Coturnix japonica: one gene and its partner. The protein of the gene in region 1 interacts with the protein of each later gene in a pairwise test. Links are inferred from orthologs where the notes say so. Each region holds a gene or a part of one and is shown on either strand. Other genes may lie near its edges.

Evidence for each region. The genes of interacting proteins can lie anywhere in the genome.
Region 2: the proteins of NAIF1 (region 1) and SOX14 interact in binary tests that used the Homo sapiens proteins (3 or more experiments, as listed by UniProt). The two-hybrid records come from large-scale screens. The link is inferred for Coturnix japonica from reciprocal best matches to the Homo sapiens genes NAIF1 and SOX14.

The regions. Positions count from the first base shown.
Region 1 is NC_029532.1:3,577,355-3,581,098, forward strand, and holds the start of NAIF1 (nuclear apoptosis-inducing factor 1), read left to right. Parts: upstream 1-842; 5' UTR 843-858; intron 859-1,098; exon of another isoform or gene 1,099-1,199; intron 1,200-1,399; 5' UTR 1,400-1,403; coding exon 1,404-1,908; intron 1,909-2,508; coding exon 2,509-2,972; 3' UTR 2,973-3,744. UniProt on the Homo sapiens protein: Induces apoptosis.
Region 2 is NC_029524.1:3,146,944-3,150,475, forward strand, and holds SOX14 (transcription factor SOX-14), read right to left. Parts: upstream 2,454-3,532; 5' UTR 2,244-2,453; coding exon 1,521-2,243; 3' UTR 565-1,520; downstream 1-564. UniProt on the Homo sapiens protein: Acts as a negative regulator of transcription.

The sequences.
Region 1 (3,744 bases):
TTGCTCACTTCCAGTAACTTAAAGCTGCGCACGAGGGCGGACACGGCGCCGGTTCACGCGGCTTTAAACGGTTACAACGGAACGACGCTGCTCGGAACGCGCAGCACCGGCACGGCACCAACGCTCCCGGCCCACCCCGTGTGAGGCAGAACCCCCGGTACCGCCCTGACACCCTCCCGGTACCGCCCATAAGGGTCCCGGTACCGCCCAGGAGGGTCCCGGTACCGCCCAGACGCCCCGTAGGCCGTATTTAACAGCCGGCCTCGCTCATCCCGTAGCCGCAGGTCTCTCACCAGCAGGTCCAGCTCGGTGCGGTGCAGCCCGAGGCGGCCCAGCCCCACGGCCAGGTCGTGGATGCACAACGCACCGTCACGATTCACGTCCAGCTTCTGGAACAAGGCCCGGAGCCGCCGGTCCTGCTCGGACGCCTCACACGCCGCCCTCCCGCACGGGCTCCCTTCAGAGCCGGGACCGGGCGTGGCGGCGGCCCGCGGGGAGCCGCACGGGCACAGCACGCCGCTCATCACCGGGGAGGCCAATGAGCGCCGCGCTCCCGGCATGATGGTGGCTCCGTGCTGCCGCTCCGCCCGCCGGCAAATGGCGACGTTTCCGCCGGCACCGCGAGGAGCCGCCGCCGAGCGCTTCCGCCTTCGCGCCACACGGCGCCGCGCCCACGTGACGCCCCCCCGCCGGCCAATGGGAGCGCTCCCCGCCAACGCCCACAGCCCGGCCCACGCGCGCAATTCGGTGACGTCAGACTGACGCCTTTCCCTGCACCAATCGGAGCGCAGAACCGCCGCGGCCGGAAGAGGGCGGGATGTGATGCCGGAGATGGATGCCATTGGTTGAAAGCTGAGGGTAAAGACACAACCGCTCCAATCAGATTGGGAGTAAGGGACAAGGCTGGGTGTTGACGGACAGGGCGTGCAGCCAATAGCTGCAGGAGTAGGGTCCCGCCGGACTCACGCAGGCCCAGTGGGCCGAGGCAGGCGGGGAGGCGGGACCTTCTCCAGCTGCCCTCGATGGGCGGCGCGACTGGCCAATGACAGCGCAGCGCTGCTCGCTGGGGGCGAGACTTTCACCTGACGGACAGGCGGGCGGCCCAATCAGGCGAGGAAAGAAAGGGGGCTGATTCTGGAAGCCATTACGCCAGTGTCGCAGGGTGGAGGCCGTTGAACTGGGTTTGCTGGGTGGCCGCGGTACGCAACTTGCGTATCGTTAGCGGTGCCAAGGGGGGGAGCGGGGAGGGAGCGACACCTCCGGGCCCCGAGGGGCCTCGGGCCTCCCCCCCGCTCCTCCCCGGGGTCAGCGGGCCGGGGGGGGGCTAAGGAAGGCTGGGCAACCCCCCCCAGCCCCTTGAGGAGCCCGCTGAGCATCACCTCCCCCGCTTCCCCCTCAGGGCCATGGCGTCGCCCCCGGCTCCCCCGGCCAAGAAGAGGAAGATGAATTTCTCGGAGCGGGAGGTGGAGATCATCGTGGAGGAGCTGGAGCGAGGCAAACATCTCCTCATCAACCACTTCAACGCCGGCGTCCCGCTGGCTGCCAAGGCCGCAGCCTGGCACGACATCCTGCGGAGGGTCAACGCCGTCGCCACCTGCCACCGAGAGCTGCCCGAGGTGAAGAAGAAATGGTCCGACCTCAAGACTGAGGTGCGGCGTAAAGTGGCACAAGTGAGAGCGGCCATGGAAGGGGGCAGCGAGAGCCACAATGGAGGCGGTGCTGGGACGGAGGGTGAGGACCCTACGGGTGCTACGGCAGCTCCCGTCATCCTCACCCCAATGCAACAGCGCATCTGTAACCTGCTGGGAGAGGCCACCATCATCAGCCTGCCCGGCGGGGAGTGCGGGGCTGCAGACGGCACCGAGATCCCCATCACCGCATCCGCCACCACCGTCACACTGACCCAGAGTGAGTGCTGTGCACTGTGGAGATGCTCCATCTGCATTGATGGAGGCCTGGAACCTTCCTGTGATCCCACTGCAGGGAGCTCCTGTCAAAACTAAGTGCCCATCTGTCGTGAAAACACATTTGTGATGTAGGGGAGCATCTATGTGATGCACGTGAAAGTCATCTGGGGTCAGCCTTAAAGCCAGGAAAGCAAGGAGCCTTTGGTCCCTTAATCTAATGAACTACAATAAAGGAGGAATATCTCCAGGGCTGATTTCCTGAACTGCCCCAACCAGGCCATCATGTTGCTAAGTGCCATTCGAGTCCTTGTCTTTGCCTTGTGTCATTTGGTTAATCATAGTTGGTTAATCATGGTGCCCTAAAAGAGATCTTGTCTAGACAGGGATGGCGCACCCTGCTCCTTTGGACCTTACTCGGTACATCCGAGAAGGAAACTTGGATGAGGGTGGAGTTGACTGAAGTTATTTTGCGCGTTCGCTGTTTATTGTATGTTATCTCCCAGAACAGGCAGTATTCCTGTTACATTCCTTGAATAGTCCTGTAGATAAGGACACCCATTTTGCAGCTACTCCTTACCCCCTTTCTGTCCTTTGTTCTCAGTTCCTGCAGAGACGACGTACCACAGTCTGGAGGACGGGGTGGTGGAGTACTGCACAACAGAAGCCCCCACCGCAGTTACTGCTGAAGCACCGTTGGAGATGATGGCACATCAACACGAAGTATCTGCAAAACCTCAGGAGCTGAAAAGCCGCATTGCTCTGAACTCAGCCAAGCTCCTGCAGGAGCAGCGAGTCACCAACTTACACGTGAAGGAGATCGCCCAGCATCTGGAGCAGCAGAATGACTTGCTTCAAATGATCCGTCGCTCTCAGGAGGTGCAGGCGTGTGCGCAGGAACGCCAGGCTCAAGCCATGGAAGGAACACAGGCTGCACTGAGTGCCCTCATCCAGGTCCTCCGCCCCATGATTAAGGACTTCCGTCGATTTTTGCAGAGCAATACACCCAGTCCTTCGGTGACCGCTGATCCCAGCCAGACTGGGCAGCAAGATGGTATTATCCAGTGAAAGGAACAGCAGTGGGACTTGTTTCTTGGGGAAAAAAAAAGCCCTGCCCCTGCTGCCATTGGACACAATAATGGGGTGCTGGCTCTAGTCAATGTGTAACGGCTCTCCTTGGAGTCTAGGCTGAGCCTGAACAACTTTCTTCTCTGCTAATCTTCTGCTGATCTGCCTTTTCAGACCCATCATACAGAGCAGAAGCAGGAGATTTGATAAACAAGGAAGCTAACATTGGTTGCTTTAGTTCCTCAGAACAATAGATTTGTGTCTTTTTTAAAAGAGGGAGAGAAAAAAAAGACAATTATTTTTTTATCCATTTGAAAAACTTCTGGCTATGACACTTCTTTCTTCCTCTGCCTTGATCCATAGCCTTTAACTGACTTCAAACACGGAGAGTCTTTCTATTAAGTCACAGTAGTGAAGCTGCCAAGGAACAGATATCACAAGCTGTAGTGTCTGGCTGTGAATGCATTTCTGTTTCTTGTTGAAAGTGTTCACTGGAAACGTGGTATCTGAGGTGGTACAACCTTTCTCTGCACTGAGAGTCTGTGGATATTGCTCTTGGAGCATGAAGTTCACCCGCACAGACTAGCTCTAAGCCTGTATGCAGTTCAGGATCCCACCCATATCCCCCAAGGATATAAATGGGATTAAAACAGTGTATTCACCTCGTGTTCTATCTGTGCACAGTCATGAAATTCAACTTTAAACTTAGCAGATGTGATGAAAATGTCTTGCCTTGGTTACCAGACACTGTCCTGGGATACGTATTGGAAGC
Region 2 (3,532 bases), on another chromosome or scaffold:
GCCTCCGTCCCTCCGCGCAAAGACCCTCGTTGCACAAAGGGCCCCGTGAATAGCACCCGGACACCGCTAATTGTCCCCCGGCACGATGCTAATTCCCCCCCCTCTCCCCGACTTCCAAAAAAAAAATTCAATTAAAAAGAATTAAAAGAAAGACAGAGAGAATCGTCGCACCGGTAACAACTTCAGCTCCGCGGAGGTAACTTCGCAAAGCTCACTTTTCCCCGACGGGAGGGGAAGGGGATGCCTCCCCCCCACCACCACCACCTTCCTTTCCCCGGCTCTCCCCCCCTCGTTGTTTGTATGTATCGTCCTCCCGCAGCCTCCTGCTCTCCACGAGGGGCTCCAAGAGGAGCCCGCAGAGGTGCGGGACGCGGTGCGGGGCCGCCCGGTGCGCGCCGTCGGGGCTCGGGGCTGCGGGACGGGCACCGCGCTCACACCGCTCTCAACGCCAAATTGCCTTCATTCCGAACGGCTTTGTTTAACCAACGTAAAGGTTCAACGAGATAAAACCCTACCGGATACGCACGGTTTTGTTTTTCCTTCCCAAGACATCGCGAAAACGTATTGAAATGACCATCATTTTTATTACGATTATTCGGTTTTCCGTTATTAGTAGTATTAGTATCAGCATCGTTCATTTGTTTTGTACAATTCTACCGCCTGACTTCAGACCTGACGCTCTGCCTAAAGTAAACTTAGATCTAATCTCACTGGATCACACAAATTGAAGGACTAGCTGTTAGAAATGAAGCAAACACTATCATATGTTAGAAATAGAAATGCTTCTCTCCCTCCGTTTTGCTTTTTCTTTCCGTTTTGAACTTTGAAGAGACACGAAAAAGCAATTTGCTTTCTTTCCCGACTAAAGCGTGGTGGCAAAATATATAGAGATTTATATATATAACACAGCCGCTCTCGTCTTTCAATGTGCAAAAGGAAAAAAATCCCCCCCACCCCACCCCTTAAAAAAGCCCCAACAACAGAACAGGACCGAGACATCCCAAAGTCACATCCAAGTGCCGTGAGACCATGGAGAACTCAGAGACGTTCAGGGAATAAATTAAAATCACCGCCTCTCTCCTTCCCCCCCCTCCCCCCCCCTTTGTCCCAGAGGGGCAGTTCGAGCTTCGCTCTTCTTTGCTTTCCTTTTTTTTTCTTTTTTTTTTTTTTTTCTCCCGGATTTTCGGAGTTATTTGTTTCTTTCTTTTTCATTTCTTATTGGTTTTGTTTGTTTGTTTGTTTTTCTGTTTTGTTTTAAAACACATTTACAACTCGGCCCGGTGCCTGGATCCTATCCGCCCCCCGCTGCTGCAGGTTCTCCCCCTCCCACCCACCCCCCACCTCGGGGCCCGGTGACAGCTCTCAGCATCTCCTCGTCCCCCGGGGCGCATCCGCGGCTGTCCGGGCTGCAGAGTCCTGGCTTCGGGAGGCTCCGGCGGGGTTATGTACATGCACACGGAGGAATCCCAATCCGGCCGGCTCCCCTGGGTGGGGGCCGCCCGTGGGGTTGTGGGCGGGTGTTACATAGCAGTCGCGTGTGCTGAAGAATAGGGGTCTATGCCAGTCTTGGTCATGCCCGGGAATAATATGTAGGCAACCGGAGGCTGCAAACTGGAGGCCGACCATGCGGTACAGTTACACGGCACCACGTAGCCAGGGTTGGTCGGTGAGGGGTGGGTGTGGGTGTGTTGGCTGGGGCAGCTCAGGCTGCCGAACGCCCCGTTCTGGTATCCCAAGGTGGAGGCGTAGGGCAGGGTGCCGGTGGCCAAGGTGTGAGGAACCTCGGTCATCTTCTGAATGGCGCTGGAGCTGAACTGGCTGGGGTCAAGTAAGGAGTAAGGTGCTGAGGTGGGGGGCAGGAAAGCCCTGGCCTTCTCCGGGGAGCTCAGCAGCGAGTCAGTGGCCCCCACGGGAAGCCCGGCGGCCTTTAAGGGATCGGTTTCCCCCAGGTAAGGCAAAGGGAAGACATACCTGTCCTTTTTGAGCAGGTTCTTGGGCTTGCGCCGGGGCCGGTACTTGTAGTCGGGGTGTTCCTTCATGTGCTGCGCCCGCAGCCGCTTGGCCTCGTCGATGTAGGGCCGCTTCTCCGCCTCGGAGAGCAGCTTCCACTCCGCTCCCAGCCGCTTGCTGATTTCCGAGTTGTGCATTTTGGGGTTCTCCTGGGCCATCTTGCGCCGCTGGCCGCGGGACCACACCATGAAGGCGTTCATGGGGCGCTTGATGTGGTCGCTGGGTTTGGACATGCTGCGGGCGGACGGGCGGGCGGGCGACGGGACGCGGCGGTGCGGGGCGCTCTGCGGGCACCGCGACGACGAAGAGGAGGAGGAAGAGGAAGAAGAGGCGGCCGGGGCAGCCGGAGGAGCTCCAGGCGAGGGCTCAGCTGATCATCACAGTCCTCCACCGACGCCGTCCCCGCCGGGAGCCGCGCCGGGGCGGGGCGCGGGGAGGCGCGGAGCGGTGCGGAGCGGAGCGGCCCGCGGGGAGGCGCGGGGCGGCCCGCGGGGCCCGGCGGGCGGCTAGGCGGGCGGCGAGCCGCCGGGCACAGCTGCGGGCCGGCGGTGGGGACGCGGAGCAGCGCGGGGCAGTTCAAAGGCGAGGGGCTGCGGCGAGCGGGCTGACATAGTGGCAGGGCGTTCACAGCGCGGCTGGGCGCCCAATCAGCGCGGAGGGGGACCAGCTTAAAAAGAGAGGGAGAGAGGAAGGGCGAGAGGAAGAGGAGGGGAGGGGACAGGGGAGGGCGGAGGAGGAAGAAAGGAGGGGAAATGAGGACCCCCCCACCCCCTCTCCATCAGCGCGCAGATTAAAGGGAAGGCTTTGTGAGTTGCCGCGCTAACAGCGAGGGGAGAGCTGGGGGGGGGGAAGCATCGGGACCCCCGGTATATGGGGACAGGGGGTGCAGGGGTCCCGACACCCCTCCGCCGCCGTCGGGGCTGAGAGCACAGCGCTCCGCCGGGCCGAGGCCGCTCCCCGCCGCCAATTCCCCCGTTCCGCAGCCCCGCTTAACCCCGGGAGCCGGCCCGCGTCCCGACTCGCTTTGAATAATTGCCTGCCTCCCTCCAAACGCCCGTGGGGAAAATATTTATTAAATGGAAACAATTGTTCCGAATCCCGACGGGGGCCGCGTTTGTTCGTGGCTTATTGGTTTTGAGCACCTGCTTGGTTAACAAACCTGCTCCGAACAGCCCCCGTCGGGCCGCCCCTTGCCCCGGCGCGGAGCGTTCAGGCCGCTCTATGGCTGACGGGGGCAGAAACGAGATGCGAGCCGGGCGGGGGGCTCGGGCCGGGCCGGAGGTGGGGACCGCAGCCCCGCAACCTCCGCGCTCCCCCCGCAGTCCCCCGGAGGCAAGTTCTGCTCCGGCCGGGCGGCCACGCGCTGCCATTGGAGGTTGTTCGCTACCCCCGGAGTAGTAATAAGAATAACAACAACGATAATTATAACAATATCATCAACCACCCTCGGTTATTTCCTGCTTTTTCTTTTTTTTTTTTTTTCCTCTTTCCGCTCTAAATAAATGACTTTCATTTCCCCGTG